Caenorhabditis elegans: one gene and its partners. The protein of the gene in region 1 purifies or fractionates together with the protein of each later gene. This does not show direct contact. Each region holds a gene or a part of one and is shown in the gene's direction. Other genes may lie near its edges.

Evidence for each region. Proteins that work in one complex are often made in the same cells at the same time.
Region 2: the proteins of hda-6 (region 1) and cus-2 fractionate together in Caenorhabditis elegans (co-fractionation; one large-scale study listed by BioGRID). This does not show direct contact.
Region 3: the proteins of hda-6 (region 1) and nhr-199 fractionate together in Caenorhabditis elegans (co-fractionation; one large-scale study listed by BioGRID). This does not show direct contact.

What each region holds. Positions count from the first base shown.
Region 1 is NC_003282.8:5,361,281-5,366,089, reverse strand, and holds the start of hda-6 (histone deacetylase), read left to right. Parts: upstream 1-1,806; 5' UTR 1,807-1,868; coding exon 1,869-1,904; intron 1,905-1,948; coding exon 1,949-2,236; intron 2,237-2,279; coding exon 2,280-2,554; intron 2,555-2,604; coding exon 2,605-3,159; intron 3,160-3,454; coding exon 3,455-3,914; intron 3,915-3,931; exon of another isoform or gene 3,932-4,013; coding exon of another isoform or gene 4,014-4,353; intron 4,354-4,515; coding exon of another isoform or gene 4,516-4,809. Other genes in the region: F41H10.4 (GRIP domain-containing protein), read right to left, coding at 1-48, 97-938, 991-1,138, 1,186-1,311, 1,357-1,530; F41H10.5 (TLC domain-containing protein), read right to left, coding at 4,014-4,353, 4,516-4,809. UniProt on the Caenorhabditis elegans protein: Probable histone deacetylase. Histone deacetylases are responsible for the deacetylation of lysine residues on the N-terminal part of the core histones (H2A, H2B, H3 and H4).
Region 2 is NC_003279.8:652,212-660,086, forward strand, and holds cus-2 (17S U2 SnRNP complex component HTATSF1), read left to right. Parts: upstream 1-1,878; 5' UTR 1,879-1,916; coding exon 1,917-2,016; intron 2,017-2,070; coding exon 2,071-2,848; intron 2,849-4,348; coding exon 4,349-4,535; intron 4,536-6,169; coding exon 6,170-6,433; 3' UTR 6,434-7,375; downstream 7,376-7,875. Other genes in the region: Y65B4A.2 (Peptidase C1A papain C-terminal domain-containing protein), read left to right, coding at 1-162, 1,467-1,534; Y65B4A.8 (Cytidyltransferase-like domain-containing protein), read right to left, coding at 7,794-7,875.
Region 3 is NC_003283.11:15,698,028-15,701,707, reverse strand, and holds nhr-199 (Nuclear hormone receptor family member nhr-199), read left to right. Parts: upstream 1-1,808; coding exon 1,809-1,933; intron 1,934-1,977; coding exon 1,978-2,311; intron 2,312-2,370; coding exon 2,371-2,566; intron 2,567-2,617; coding exon 2,618-3,180; downstream 3,181-3,680. Other genes in the region: Nuclear hormone receptor family member nhr-53, read left to right, coding at 1-1, 251-446, 502-887, 943-1,044; srx-29 (7TM GPCR serpentine receptor class x (Srx) domain-containing protein), read left to right, coding at 3,509-3,547, 3,604-3,680. UniProt on the Caenorhabditis elegans protein: Orphan nuclear receptor.

The sequences.
Region 1 (4,809 bases):
CGATTCGATTGCCGACATTGATGAAACACTTTCGTTTCCGTCGAAAGTCTGAAAAATTTGATGAATATATGTTAGTCCTTGATTAAATGTGCTTACATGACTACTTTGCCTATCATTTTCTGGTGGAACCACATGCCATCCAGCTCTTTCTTCGCTTTTTCTCTCATAAGAATCAGCTCGTTTTCTCTCTTCTTTTAATGATTTTTGTAGCTCTTTCACAAGAGACATTGCTTTTTTCACTGCGAGCTTCTTGTCTTCTTCCGCTGATTTCAGCTTCTCCTCTAAACTCGTCATTTTCAAAAGGAAACATTCTTTATCCGACTCAAAACTCTTTTTAAGATCATCAACTTCCAATTGATAACGAGTTTCGAGAAGAAGTACTCGGTCTTCTAAAAGTTTTTCGTGGTTCTTTGCAGCTTCATTAGTGTTCTGTTGGATTTGAGACGAAAGACGATGATTTTCCGATTTTAAAACTTCGATCTTTTTTTTCAAACCTGATATTTCTTGTTGAGATATTTCAGTCAGCTTTAGTTTTTCTGATTGTAGAGCAGCAAGGTTTTTAGAAACGTCATGATTTAGTTGATTTTCAGAGACGAGTTTAAAATTCTCAGCTTTTAAACTGTCAATTTCAGATTTCTGACTCAACATTGTCTTTCTATATTCCAGATTATCATCAGAAAGCTTTTTATTTTCATCCATCACTGCATTGTTACTCTCCTTCATTTTTTCAGCAATCCCTTCATTTTCTCTGCGTAATTCTTCAATTTCTTTCCTAATTCGCAAATTTTCCTCGACAACCTTCTCCTTAATTTTAAGAATAGCTTCGGATTCTGAAGTTATTGAGAGTAAACGATCTTCAAGCTCGACGTTCAATGTCTGACAGTTTTCAAGTTCTTCACTGAGACTTGTAACTTTGTTGCTTATAGCAGGAATTGTTTCTGTAACCTTTTATACAATTAATTGTATTGAACAAAGTTGGAATAAAATTACCTTGACATAGCAAAACTTTTTCGTCTGTTAAATTTTTAATAGCTTCTTTTAATTGTTCCACTGTTTGCCTTTCTTCTGCTTCTTTTTCCAGAGGATGATCAGAATAAGACGACATTTGATTCTTTAATGTCTCATTTTGTGTGGATATCTGTAATTTGGACATTGAAAAGCTTGAATTTTAAATGTAAAGTTTACTGTCTTGAGCTCTTCAAAAAGGGTAGATTGTTGAAGGCGAAACTCTTGCTCTTGGGTCTCTAGTTTCCGCCGAAGCGACTCAATTTCTGCTTCATCTTTTTTCGAAGAAGATGCTCTGTTGATTAACTGAAAGATTTAAATTAATTATAATAAAAATAAACTTTTCCTCACCTTGCTAGCAAATTGCAATGCTTCATTTTTCGGAGAGTTTTGGTGTTGGGAAGCTGCTGCGTTCTTCTTTTTAATCTCCTCTCGTAACTCGTAATTTTCATTTTTCAGCTGCAAAAGTTGCTCTTGAACAAGAAGGAATTCCTCCTTCGACAAGCCACCCGACTCTGTCGCCATTCTGCAAAAAGTTTGCAACGTAAAATACATAAATTGGGTGTTTAGGAGCAAACGTTTAAAAAACGAACTATAAATCTACACAAGGCGGTTGGAAAAATCAAAGAAAACTTGATATTTCATGTTTTTGTCCAATTACTCTTATTGATGCATAACACAAAAACAAAAAAACATAAACAAAATGCAAAACAGGTCAGAACACACGCGACTTGACGGTAAAGTGCACAGATGGCCGTAGCCTTGAGTTGAATATTCTAGTCCACGGCCATCACGAGGACATTTTTTCCACAGGATTTTTTAGACTTTTAGCGGTTATTCAAACATTTATCGTTTAGTTTTCCATGCTTTTCGAAGATAGGCAGAAAAATCGATCAACGGTAAGAAAAGTATATGTTCGTACAATCATATAATCTATTTACAGGGTCCAACACTCATCGGATTCAATCAAACTCAAAATGAACATGAGAATACAGTATGCCCAACACATCCGGAGTCTTCGGATCGAATTTTGAAGATTAAAGAGGCATTAACAAAGACGAAAATACTCGAAAAATGCACTGTACTAACAAATTTTCTGGAGATCGACGATGCTGACTTGGAAGTAACCCACGATAAAAGCATGGTTAAAGATTTAATGGAATCTGAAAAGAAAACACAAGAAGATATTAATTCACAGTGCGAAAAATATGATTCCGTGTTTATGACAGAGGTATTAATTGGGTAAAAAGAAGCACAAAACGTTGAGAATAAAGTTTCAGAACTCGATGAAAGTTGCCAAAGATGGTGTCGCGTGTGTTCGAGATTTGACGAATAGAATCATGGCTAATGAAGCTTCGAATGGTTTTGCAGTCGTCAGGCCACCCGGACATCATGCAGATTCTGTATCGCCTTGTGGTTTCTGCTTATTCAATAATGTCGCCCAAGCCGCCGAAGAAGCATTTTTCAGTGGAGCCGAACGGATTTTGATTGTCGATTTGGATGTACACCACGGACACGGAACTCAGCGGATTTTTTATGATGATAAAAGGTTAAAAAGGATTTTATAGTGAAATAATAATTTTCTTCAATGAATTTCAGAGTACTATATTTCTCAATTCATCGCCACGAACATGGTCTCTTTTGGCCTCATCTTCCCGAATCAGATTTTGATCATATTGGATCAGGAAAGGGATTGGGATACAACGCAAATCTGGCTTTAAATGAAACTGGATGCACTGATTCTGATTATCTATCGATTATTTTCCATGTTCTACTTCCTCTTGCAACTCAGTTTGATCCACATTTTGTGATAATCTCTGCTGGATTCGACGCACTTCTCGGTGATCCTTTAGGTGGAATGTGTCTTACACCTGATGGTTATTCACATATTTTATATCATCTGAAATCACTTGCACAGGGAAGAATGTTGGTCGTATTGGAAGGAGGTTACAATCATCAAATCTCTGCAGTCGCTGTTCAAAGATGTGTGAGAGTACTGCTCGGATATGCTCCATTTTCAATTGAATTGAATGAAGCACCGAAAGAAAGTACGGTTGATTCATGTGTTAGCCTTGTTTCCGTTCTTCGACATCATTGGAACTGCTTCGACTATTTTCCGTCTCGGACTTCACTAAGATTGGCTCAGTGGCCGATGTACGTTGACTATTTGGGCTCAATTAGACCCGAAATCACCCCAAAACGGGCGAATTTCATTAGGAAAATTTCAAAGTTAAAAAAAAACCGAATTTCGCTAAATCTGCAGCAGGAATACGTATTTTATATTTTTAAAACTTTTAGAATGTATTTTTGTTGCAAAATCGTTGATTTAGACACATTTTAAGTCGATAAAGGCATCCAAAAATCACCGAAAACAGATCATCGAAAATTAATAAAAATACATACTTCCTGAAAAAAAAACATTGAACCTTCCAAATCTATTAATTTTCAGTGTGAACACAAAAGTAATCTACAACTACGATCCAACAACTCGTCGTGCCGACACTGGTGAGATTATTCAAGATGAACTTGCATCCACTGAGTTCACAGCTTCCGATGTGATACCCACTGAAAATATGGAAACATTGATTTATTTCAACGAAGGAGACGATGCTCATTTCGATTTAGAAGAGGACAATCATCCCGAGAAGCCGGCACGGACACGTCGAATTCTGAAGACACTGCGAGAATCTGGAGTACTGGAGAAGTGTGTGGATAGGAATTGTGAAAGGATTGCGACGAATGAGGAGATTCGATTAGTTCACACGAAGAAGATGCTGGAACATTTGAGGACGACTGAAACTATGAAGGATGAGGAATTGATGGAAGAGGCTGAAAAAGAATTCAATAGTATTTATTTAACAAGAGATACTCTGAAAGTTGCACGAAAAGCTGTCGGCGCAGTGTTACAGGTACCTTTTTTTAAAAGAAAATCTTTATTTTTTATCCCGTAAATTATAAACCGTACAATAGATGAAAATTATTCTAGTAAGATCATAAGATCCGAAATTCTAATTTCCCTTCTTCTTCTCTTGATCATCATTCTTGTCTCGAGTCATTGCAAATCTCGCTCGAAGTTTTTCGGTCAAAAATCCGTCAGAAGCAAGAAGTCTCAAGAACAACATTCCATTGATACAACCAAATATGATGGGTCCACCCAATCCGACAAGCACATAATACCAATGAAGACCAGGAACATTGTAAATTGCCCAGTTTGTCCAGAGAATTTGAGAGACGATACGGAAGAAGAAGAAGCTGATGATATTTGAGTAGACGACAACACGGAATACTCCAGGAAATTGGGTGGAAAGGCCACAGATTTGAAGAATTGTTCGGGCGTGAAGGAAGATGCTGAAAATTAGAAAATTGGTCAGGGGGTACTGTATATTATTCTGAAATTGGTGTAGAAACGCGCCCAGCGAATTTACAATATTATCGCGAAATACCTAACGAGACCCATATCTCTGGGGCGGAGCGTGTTTTCCACGATCAAATGGGAATCAAAGTTCTCACCTGTTGACCTCCATCAACAAAGCCCATCCGGCTGCCAGTGTGAACTTTCCAGTCAGCCCGGGAGCCACCAATGCGGCACACGTTGCAAAATGATGAAGCAGCAGCTCCAATGTATAGCTATTCCATTCATACATCAGCATGTCAAAGGCGTCTTGAAAGAAATAGGCGACCGAGATCAATGGGAGCTGAGCGGCAATGGGATTGTACCAGTCGATGACGTCATGAAAGATCTCATGAGGATGACTGAACATCAGAATCAGATCACCACCTCCAACAATGACAGCGTGCAGCCAG
Region 2 (7,875 bases), on another chromosome or scaffold:
TTCATTATTCGAGCGGAGTGTTCCGCCCGTATCCAACTGATGGTTTCGACGATCGAATTGTGTATTGGCACGTGGTTCGATTGATCGGATGGGGAGAATCAGATGATGGAACACATTATTGGTTGGCTGTTAATAGTTTTGGTAACCATTGGGGTGATAATGGTGAGTTTTCGTGCAAATTGCGCACGGCCCGGCAAATGGTACATCCATACAAATGCGCTCCACTGATAATTTGAGTTTAGCCAGGTTTGGGCGCGTTTTAAGGAAAACGCCTTGGTCCAAAAAATTTAGAATTTGATTTCGGACATTTTTTATATGCATCACAAAAATGTTGGACGAGCCGTTTTTGAGAAAAAGCCCAGGTATACGGTAAACAAATTGCGTACAGGTGCCACTTCCCGGGCCGTGATGCGCGTTAAATATAGTGCTTTTTAAGAATGCGTGTTGCGCAACATATTTGACGCGCAAAATATCTCGTAGCGAAAACTACAGTAATTTTTCAAATGACTACTGCAGCGTTTATGTCGATTTACGGGCTCGAAAAAAAAGTTACAGCGATATTCCATTTTTTCTCATTTTTTGCTTATTTTTATTTAGTATTCTCACGGTGTGTCATTCTGTCCCATAACGGTTTGATCTACAAAAAATGCGGGAATTTTTCGCCCAGAAAAATGTGACGTCAGCACGCCCCTAACCATACGAAATTTGTTGAGAAATCTGCGTATAAATTCCCGCATTTTTTGTAGATCACGCCGAAGTGAGACACTTTGACACCACGTGTATTCTATCTAAAAATAAATTATTTCAAAAATAGAGCCCGAAAAAAAAAATCGACAAAAGCGCTACAGTAGTCATTTAAAGAATTACTGTAGTTTTCGCTACGAGATATATTGATATTTTGCGCGTCAAATATGTTGCGCAGTACGCATTCTTAGAATTTTGTGTTGCCGTAAATAAATTTGGACGTCAAATACAGTGCATATTGCGGTCGATCGGCTACAATATATTTTGCGAGCAAATTTGGAAGTTTTGCGCGTCAAATATGATGTAGCCGATCGGTCATGTTACAAAACACCATATTTGACGCGCAAAACTTTAATTTTGGACAAAAAGTCAGAGAATTAGTATTGCGTAAAAAACTGGCAATTTTTTTCAGAACATTTCTGAAATTTTCAATATATTTTCAAACTTTTCGCGTCAAATATGGTGCATCAAGTCGCGAACCAAATACACTCTAACACGTAGTGCCAGGCTGTCCCATTATAGTTTGACCTACAAAAACGCGGGAATTTTTCGCCCAAAAAAATGTGACGTCAGCACGTTCTTAACCATGCAAAATCAGTTGAGAACTCTGCGTCTCCTCTTCTCCCGCATTTTTTGTAGATCAACGTGATTCAGGCCGAAATGTGACACTCTGACACCACGTGGCCCTAATTAACTCGTAAAAATCACCGTTTTTTTTCCAGGACTCTTCAAAATCAACACAGATGACATGGAAAAATATGGTCTAGAGTATGAAACAGCAGTCGTCTAATTATAATTCGGCAAAAATTTTTTGTAAATAGTTAAATATTGTCCACCTATTTCATCCCCACCCGATTGCATCTCAACTTGTCCCATTTCCGAGAAAAATCAATTATTTATTTTTATTCGGCCATCATTTATTAGCTCCCTCATTCCATAGTTTTTTTTTAATTAGATTTTTTTTGGATGCTAAAATTTGCCATTCTCATAGACATTTTCAATATTTGTGTAAAATAAATCATTTTTCTGGTCTTCAATTGATGGAAAAAAACAAAAAAACAATGCGCGTCAGGTTTGGTGTATTGTGTGCAAACACCGAGCGCATATTTTGAAATTTATTTTTTTTTCGAATTTATTAAAGTTGCTGATTTTCTTTAATTTCAGGCTTAAAAATGTCGGATTTTGTGCCAGAAACCGAGGAAAATGAAGAAGAATCTCAAAAAATCGATGAAATCCATGAAATCCCAGCTCAAGCAATTATCATCGACCAAAGTGAGGAAAATGCTGACTTTATCAATTTTCAATTACTTTTTGCATTTTTTCTAGGTTTTTCTCGACGATTTCTCAACAATAAATGGTACGGAAAGTACGGCGAAGATGGGGATCTTCTGGAGCACATCGACGAGGACTGGGAGCCCGTAGGCCTCGACGAAGTGGAATTTCTGAGCCAACTGTGGTTTGAGCAGGAGGATCAGGAGAAAAAAGCTCATAGGCACTATGATTGGGATGAAGAAAAGAAGGAATGGGTGCCGAAGGCCAAGCAGGAGGAGGTCAATGAGGATTTTATCGCAGAATATCAAGCGAATTACGGGGTTCAGTATGATGATATTTATAAAAAAATGGACGAAGAATTGCAAGAAAAAGCGGCAAAAGCTCAAAAAGAAGATGAAGAGAAGAAGGAGAAGAAGCGGAAGAAAAAAGTTGGCTTGGGAGCCGGGGAAGACGCTAAAGAGGGCTGGCTTGACCTAGGAGATAAGGTTCATGCGGTTTATGTGTCAAATCTTCCGGAAGATATTACAGACGAGGAATTCCAGAAATTTATGTCAAAATGTGGAGTTATTCAGCCGGATATTCGAACGAATAAGCCGAAATGCAAGCTTTACCGGGAGGAAAACGGCAAACTCAAAGGCGACGGAAGATGTTGTTATATTAAGAAGGAATCTGTCGAGCTTGCCTGTAACATTCTCGATGGAGCGAACTTAAACGGGCGGGAAGTGAAGGTTGAGGAAGCTCGATTTGAGATGAAGGGCGATTTTGATCCGGCGAGGAAGCGGCGGAAATTGACTGCGGCGCAGAAAAAACGATATATGGAGCAGCAGAATAAGTAATAAAAAATATTTGGTGAAATTTGAAATAGCTCGTAAATCGACATTAAGCTGAAAAAATGAAAAAAAACCAAAAAAAATCGTATTACGGGAACACAAAATCCTGAGAATGCGTACTGCACAACATTTTTTTTTTTTTTGACGCGCAAAATATCTCGTAGCGAAAACTAAGACTACTGTAGCACTTGTGTCGATTTACGGGCTGCTCGATTTTCGAAATGAATTAAAAGAATTTATTTATGTGATATTGAAATTGGGCAAAAAATAGGAAAATAATACAAAAAAATCTAAAAAATTTATTTCAATAATCGAGCCCCCGTAAATCGACACAAGCGCTACAGTAGTCATTTAAAGAGTAGTTTTCGCTACGAGATATTTTGCGCGTCAAATATGTTGTGCAATACGCATTCTCAGAATATTGTGTTCCCATAATATATCGACGAAAAAATTGGCCCAAATCGTGGATTTTTGTCCGAATTTGATGACAAATGGCTTTGAAAATCACAAAATTTCAGAGAAAAATTTCGATTTTTGGTTTAAAAAAACAAAAATTGAAACCCAACAAAATTGTTAACTTGAAAACCTGCTGAAAATCTTAGAATTTTCAGATTTCACCCAAAAAATACCAGATTTAACTCGAAAATTGCGAATTTTAGGCCAAATTCCTTGCATTTTTCATAGAAAAGATAAACTAACGACACAAAATCAAATGAAATTGACTAAAAAACTATTGAATTTTGTAGAAAAATCCCGATTTTTGCCTAAATTTGCAAAAAAAATATTTTATTTTAGCATTTATTTTTCTTAATTTTCACACTAAAAATTACGAAAAAAGACAAAAAAAATTTTTTTCATTCAACAATTTTTTGGGCTAAAATGTGTAATTTTTGCGGGAAGAATTCGAAAAATTATTAAAAATCGTAGAGACTAACTGAAAATCAATTTTTTAGGGACCAAAAAGCCAACTTTTGCCGATTTTACTCAAATTTTTCCGTGAAAAATCCGGAATTTTTAAATATTATTTAATTGCGAAATTTTACAATTTTTACACCTAAAATAAGGGTAATATGGTAGCTGGTCTCGACACGACAATTTTTTTGTTAAATTCTAAAAAAGGTGTGCGCCTTTAAAGAGTACTGTAATTTCAAACTTTATGGAATTTTTTTTTGATTTTTCAAATAAACTACGAAAAATCGAAGAAAATTCCACAAAGTTTGAAATTACAGTACTATTTAAAGGCGCATACCTTCTAGAATTTTACAAAAAATTTGTCGTGTCGTGACCGGCGACCGTATTACCCTAATTTTTGGTGTAAAAATCGTAAACTGTCCGGATTTTTCACTACGAAATTCAAATTCGAGGAAAATCGAAAAAAATTGGTTGTTTTGGTTCCTAAAAAATATATTTTCAGTTATTTTCTACCATTTTTTAATAATTTCTCGAATTTTTCCCTCAAAAATTACAAATTTCAACCAAAAATTCTGATTTTTCCTTTCCAGAATCTTCGAATGGACGCCCGATAAGCCACGTAACTACCGTCCAAAGTCGGACTGTACGGTTATTGTCAAAAATCTGTTCACTCAGGAAATGATGAACAAGAATGCGGCGTTGATGTTGGATTTGAAAGAGGAAATGACACAAAGTTGTCAGAAATATGGAATTGTTAAGAAAGTCGTCGTTTATGCGGTTGGTATTGAGGAAATTTGTGGAAATTTCGATTTTTGTAAAAAAAATTTATTCTAAAAAAATAAATTAAAAAAAAAAGATTTAAAAAATTTAAAGCTAATTTTCGAAAAATTGAAGCTAATTTTGGAAAAAAAACCGAAAATTTTTTTTTTTAGAAATGTCGATATTCATAAAAAAATATTCTAAAAACGGGATCAAAAATTTTTGAAGCTATTTGTCGGAAAAATTTTTAAAAATGTAAAGCTAATTTTCGAAAAAAAACCCAAAATTATTGGATTTAACAAATTTTCAAAAAAATTGTTCTAAAAAAGATAACCTTTAACATTAAAAAAATTATGGCTATTTTTCGAAAAATTAAAAAAAAACAATTTTTAGCTAATTTTCGAAAAAAAACCGAAAATTTGTGGAAATTTCGATTTTCAAAAAAAATTTATTCTAAAAAAAAATAAATTTTTAACATTAAAAAATGGCTATTTTTCGAAAAAACCGAAAATTTTTGGAAATTTCGATTTTCGAAAAAAAAGTATTTTAAAAAAACAATGAGAAATGGTTATAAATTGTTCTTTCAAAAATTTTTTACAGCTTTTTTTTTCGAGAAATTTAAAAAAAAAACAATTTTTAGCTAATTTTAAAAAAAGTAAAGCTAATTTTCAAAAAGAACCCCAAAATTGATGCATTTATCGATTTTTAAAATAAATTGTTCAAAAAAAGATAAATTTAAAAAAAAAGTTATTGGATTTTTTAAAGTTATTGGATTTTTCAATTTTCAAAAAAAAATCATCAAAATGTATAAATAAATAAAAACTATGGATTTCGAAAAATTAAAAAAAACAATTTTTAGCTAATTTACGGAATTAAAACAACAAAAAATTTCGGAAAATCGAAAATTGTTGGTTTTTTTTTTCGATTAAAAAAATTCAAAATCTTCTGAAAGACATTTTTAAAATTTCCAAAAAAAAATTATGAGTATTTTTCAAAAAACAAATCGAATTTTGATTAACTTCCGATTTTTTTGACATTTTTTGAAATTTGAAAATCATTAATTCAAAAATTTTTATTGAAATAATTCAAAAATTTTTATTGAAAAAAAACGAAAATTTTTGATTTTCGCTTGAATATTTCGGAAAAAACAATCGATTAAAAAAAAAATAGGCTTCTAGTTATTTTTCAAGAATGCTTTTTTTTTGACAAACTGCTGATTTTTTGTCAGTTTCGTCGATTTTCGTTGTAAAAAATCAAAAATTCAAAATTTCTTCTATTACGAGTGCACAAAATGCTGAGAATGCGTATTGCACAACATATTTGACGCGCAAAATATCTCGTAGTGAAAACTACAGTAATTCTTTAAGTGTCTACTGTAGCGTTTTCGGAAAAATTCCACTTTTTTTATTTAAAAAAAAAAACGAAATATTTTGATTTTTTTTTATTAAAAAAAACGAAAAATTTTGATTTTTTATTAAAAAAAACGAAATATTTTGATTTTTTATTTAAAAATGAAAAATTTTGATTTTCCAAAAAAAAAGGCTCCTAATTAAAAAAAAAAAATTTTTTTGAAAAAGTGCAGATTTTTGTCTTAAAATTTAAATCAAAAATTTTTAAATAGACTTTTTCCATCAAATTTCCCCAATTTTCAGAACCACCCGGACGGCGTCGTATCGGTAACCTTTCCAACGACAGAAGAATCGGATATGGCTGTAAAATATCTTCACGGACGAGTAGTTGACGGTCGGAAATTGACAGCCGAGCTCTGGGATGGCCGGACAAAGTTTAAGGTCGAGGAGACGGAAGAGGATGAGGAGAAGCGTCGGAAAGAGTACGAGAAGTATATTGAGGGTGGAAGTAGTGAGACGAAGGAGGAGAGCGACGACGATGATGACGATGAAGCTGAAGATAATTGATTGATCTAAATTTTTTCTGAAAAATTATTTTTAGTTTATACATTTTTCCGAGAGGAGCAACCGATCAATTTTTACCAAAACTATGTTCAAAATCGCCCAAAAATATCAAATTTAGTGAATTTTCGTTTTCATGGATTTTTCGAAAATTAGCTTTAAAAATGTTTGCCAAATTTTTCGACGATATCGCGATATTTTAAAAATTTCGAACAAAAATTGCCTAATTTCAATTAAAATCCCTTTTTTCGAAATTTTCTAATTTTCTGGGCCAATTGGGTCGTTTAAAAAGAAAAATGGCCAAAATTTGAGAGTTTTAAAAAAATTCTAAAATTTCAATCCTACGATTTTCCGGGAAAAAAATTTTCTTGGAAAATTGCTTTTTTTTTGAAAAATTATTTTTAGTTTATACATTTTTTTTCCGAAAATAGGAACAACCTATCAATTGAAATTTTCAAAAAAAAATTAATTAAATTTGGAAGCATTTTCCGAAAAATTGCATGTTTTCGGTTTTCTAGAAAAAAAAAACTAAAAGAACGAAAAATTTCACCAAAAATCAAATATGAAAATACTTTCCTAAAAATCTGAAAAAACCAGAAATTTTCAATTTTCCCTATTCAAAAAAATTCAAAAAAAAAACCAAATTTCAGTTAAAATCCCTTTTTTCGAAAATTTTAAAATTTTCTGCGCCATTGTGTCGTTGATTTGAAATTTTTTTCTAAAAATCCGTGAATTTTTGAAATTAAACAAAAAATTTGAAAAATCAAAAATTATCGATTTTTCAACGAAAAAAATTCAAAAATTTCAATCTTACGATTTTCCTAACTAAAAAAAAATTTGAAGTAACGAAAATGTTCAATTTTTTCGAAAATTTTCGAGGTCATTTAGAGTTTTTTCTGTGAAAATTGCATTTTATATACTCATTTAAATTAATTTTTATATATTCCTTTCCCGAAAACTTCAAAAAAAAAACCCAGTGATACAATTAAAATCGAGATAATCACAGACAAAGTAGGCAGTAGGCAGGCAAAAAACAGGCACATATTAAGGTAATACAAAATTCTGATAATGCGTACATCGCAACACATTTGACGCGCAAAATATCTCGTAGCGAAAACTACAGTAATTCGTTAAATGGATACTGTAGCGCGCTAGTGTCGATTTACGGGAATCTTAAAGAACCTAAAGAATTGTAGGAAAAATGGAGATCCCGTAAATCGACACTAGCACGCTACAGTATCCATTTAAAGAATTACTGTAGTTTTCGCTACGAGATATTTTGCGCGTCAAATATGTTGTTCAATACGCAATTTTAAAATTTCGTGGTCTCATAATAATACACAATTAACTAGTAAATCTACAAAATCTACAAAATTCTCTTCATCAACTCTTCCACAGCTCGATCGACCTGTGCATGAGTCTCCTCGTACGCCCACAGAGAGCACAAC
Region 3 (3,680 bases), on another chromosome or scaffold:
GGTAGGGGTGATTTTATACGGATATTTGGATATTGTTAAAGGATGAAATCTGAACTTATGCTTTACATTTTTTTAATTAAAAAATACTCACAGTGAGGGTCGAACCCCCTAACTTTGTGTACAAGAAAACTCCCACTGCGCCGTTTGGGAAATTAAAAAAAAAAAAACTTTAAGAACCTCGAACATAAATTACAGAGTTTCATTTCGAAATTTTCAAAAAAATTACCAAAAGCTTAAAACTTTTTTCCAGAACCAACTTCCCCGAGCCATCAGTTTCAACGAGCTTCAAGTAGTGTATCAAAATGAGATGACTGTAATTTATCAATTCCTTTGCGAAGCATTTCCCGAGTACTCTGAGCTCCTTCCAGACACAAAACGATCGCTTTTTAAGAATTTTTTCCTACCATTCACACTTTTGGAGAGCTCATATTATGGATATTTGACGAGTAAGTTCCACTTTTTAGATAAAAATTAAAATTAAATCAAAAACTGAAATTTCAGAGCAAGAAAATGTGATGCTCATTCCTTCGGGCGACTACGTTGATTTGGCTCATCTAGAGTCATATTTCAACAATAATCATCACACGTTTTCTCAAAAAGACACTATTTCGATGTTTGCTCAGCAATTTCGAATGCTCCACACTTCTATAACTGTTCCGTTGAGTGCTGAAAATGTAGATGTTAATGAGTTTCTAGCTCTAGCGGCTATAATTCTCTGGGAATCCGATTTAGAAGTAGAAGCCGATCGGAAGAATGTTCAAGAGGAAGCTGTGAAGATTAAGAGCGCTATTATCAAGGATCTACTTTTTCACTATCAATCTATAAATGTATACGCTGACGTGGCAATGAGGCTTGGCGCTGTTTTGTCCATACTTCCTTCAATTCAGGTTTGCTGCTCGCGGAGCAACAATTTTTTGATTATAAGCTCAAAAGTTGTTTCAGAGAGCCAGTCACCGTTTCCACGAGTATATGGAAATCAAAAATCTGCTCAATTTGTATGCTCTGCCCAAGAATCTCTACGACATGTTCTCGCCAACTTCCTGAATTTTAATGTTTTTTTTAAATTTATTTTCTTAGTGTACAATAAACAAGTATTATTTTTATTTGTCTATAAAATTAAAACTTTTGTTAGAATTGTCCTGAAAAGCAGAAGTGGGGAATAAGAAGAAGAAATGTGCCGAATAAATGTACCGAACAATGCGACTTTGCAGTTGAGCAACTTTTTGAAATTTTTAATCAAAAGTAATGCTATTTTCAGAAAAAATAACTTTGGCAAATCCATAAGAAGGAGAGGATTTCGCAAATTCTGTTAATGCGCTCTGGTGGAGCATGCTCAGTTTAAAAAAAAGAGTATAATTTCGGAAAGCTGTGCAAACACGCCATGCAATTTTATAATTTTCAATAGGCACACGAGGTATAAAAGCATGCCACAACCATTGTTTTTCAAGAGTTTGTTGAGTTCTGAAATAACATCAGATTAAGCTGGAGTCCGATTTGCCTTTATGACTAATGAGCCTCGTGAATATATAATATATTGTCTCGTTAGCTCTCAGAGTGTTTGATCATATTCAAAACGTGTGTAATGAGTTCTATTTGGCAGACACATCACACAACAAATCTACCTCCAACTTTTTGATCTTACAAACTTATTTCTGCTTTTTTTAGTCTCTATATAGTCTAATCCAAGGGATTTTGTGAAGCTCAAAAATTCAAAAATCTCAGAATATTGTTATTCTTGTTTTTTTTAAATCCATTTGAAAACAGGTGCAGTTGCAGATGATAATTAATTATTCATTTATTTCAGAAACATGTTCACCCTAGCTCGTGTGTTGAACAATATTGGAAGCGCTTCATCCAATGAACCGATTCCATATTGTTTGATTTGTAGTGAGGTTGCTGATGGGAATCATTTTGGAGTAGCTGCAGCGTGTAGGTGAGTAACTTTTTCAAAAATTTTGAAATTCGTGAAATTTTCAGAGCTTGCGCTGCATTTTTCCGCCGCACAGTCCAACACAATAAGATCCACGAGTGTGGGAGAAATGGGCAATGCTTTTTCCTATCATGCAAGTTTTTATTGGTCGGGTTTCAAATATCACCACTAAGTTCAGACGCACGGAGCATGTGTAAAGCCTGCAGGTACGGTAAGTGCCTTGAAATGGGAATGCAACGATCATCGGTGCAACAGAGACGTGAACAACTCGGGAAACGTCTGAATATCTCTGATGATCGTGGAAAGCCAGTGCTTAATAAGTTGCGAAGAGCGTACGAAATGTTAATTTTAAACAGGAAACACGTGCATAATAGGCGGGAGGTAAGGACTGTTTAATTGTTCATATGAAATACTGATACCTGATCAGTGAACCATTTCAGAACCAAGCACCCCGAGCCATCGGCTTTAACGAGCTTCCAATCGTGTTTCAAAACGAGTCGACAAGCATATATCAGTTCCTCTGGGAAGCATTTCCCGAGTACTCCATGCTTCTTCCAGACACAAAACTCGCATTTTTCAAAAATTTCTTCTTGTCGTTCTGTCTATTTGAGAGCTCGTTTAATGGATGTTCAGCAAGTATGTTTTTTTTTCAGCCATAATTTTTTCATTCCATATCTAAATTTTCAGAGCAAAAAAATGTGATGCTCATTCCATCCGGTGACTACATCGATTTGGCTCATTCTGAATCGTTTTTCACCAACGATCATCAAACTTTCACTGAAAGAGACAATATTGAAATACTCGCTCAAAGGCTAAAATTAATACAATCATCTATAACTGTTCCGTTGAGTGCTGAAAATGTAGATATCTATGAGTTCCTCGCGCTTGCGGGTATCATTCTCTTGGAATCGGATTCTGAGTCAGAAGCCGATTTTCAAGAAGAAGCTGTGAAGATTAAGAGCAATATCATCAAGGATCTACTTTTTCACTATCAATGTATAAATATTTATGATGACGCAGCAATGAGGCTTGGCGCAGTTTTGTCCATACTTCCATCAATTCAAGTTTGTTGCTCGCGGAGCAACAATTTTTTGATTATAAACTCTAAAGATGTTTCAGAGAGCCAGTCACCGTTTTCACGAATACATGGAAATCAAAAATATGCTCAATTTGTACGCTCTTCCCAAGAATCTTTACGACATGTTCTCGCCAACTTCATAAAATTTATTTGTAAATTTGTTTCTATTTGATTTTTTTTAAATAGTTATACTGTAAATTTTTGATTCCAGTAGTATTAATAAAAATGTACAAAACTTTGGCAGCCACTTTTGCCGAGTACCTCAGAGCGCATTTGCAATTTCTATAACTGTTTTTTTTAGTTTGATCTACGAAAATGCGCTGATAATCTCTAGCTGTAAATTAACTATTATTTTTAATAATACATCAATAGTACCACGCCGTTGGCTAGACCGGAAATTAAAATGCACAGTTTTTCATATTTCCTTCAGATTTTTTTCATCACCATGATATTGTCTCATCAAGCTGTAAGTTACTCAGAAAACATTCTAAAATTTCCCAATGTATCAGCAATTTGTCGTCTCCGCAATCACCTTTATTGTGAGTTTTTGTAAAACGTAGTTGATAGAAGGTACTGTAAACTGCTCCAATTTCAGGTATCATTAATAGGTATCCTCTCAAATATAGTTTTAGTCCTTGCAATCCGTAAAACGTACTCCATGAATGGCTCTTT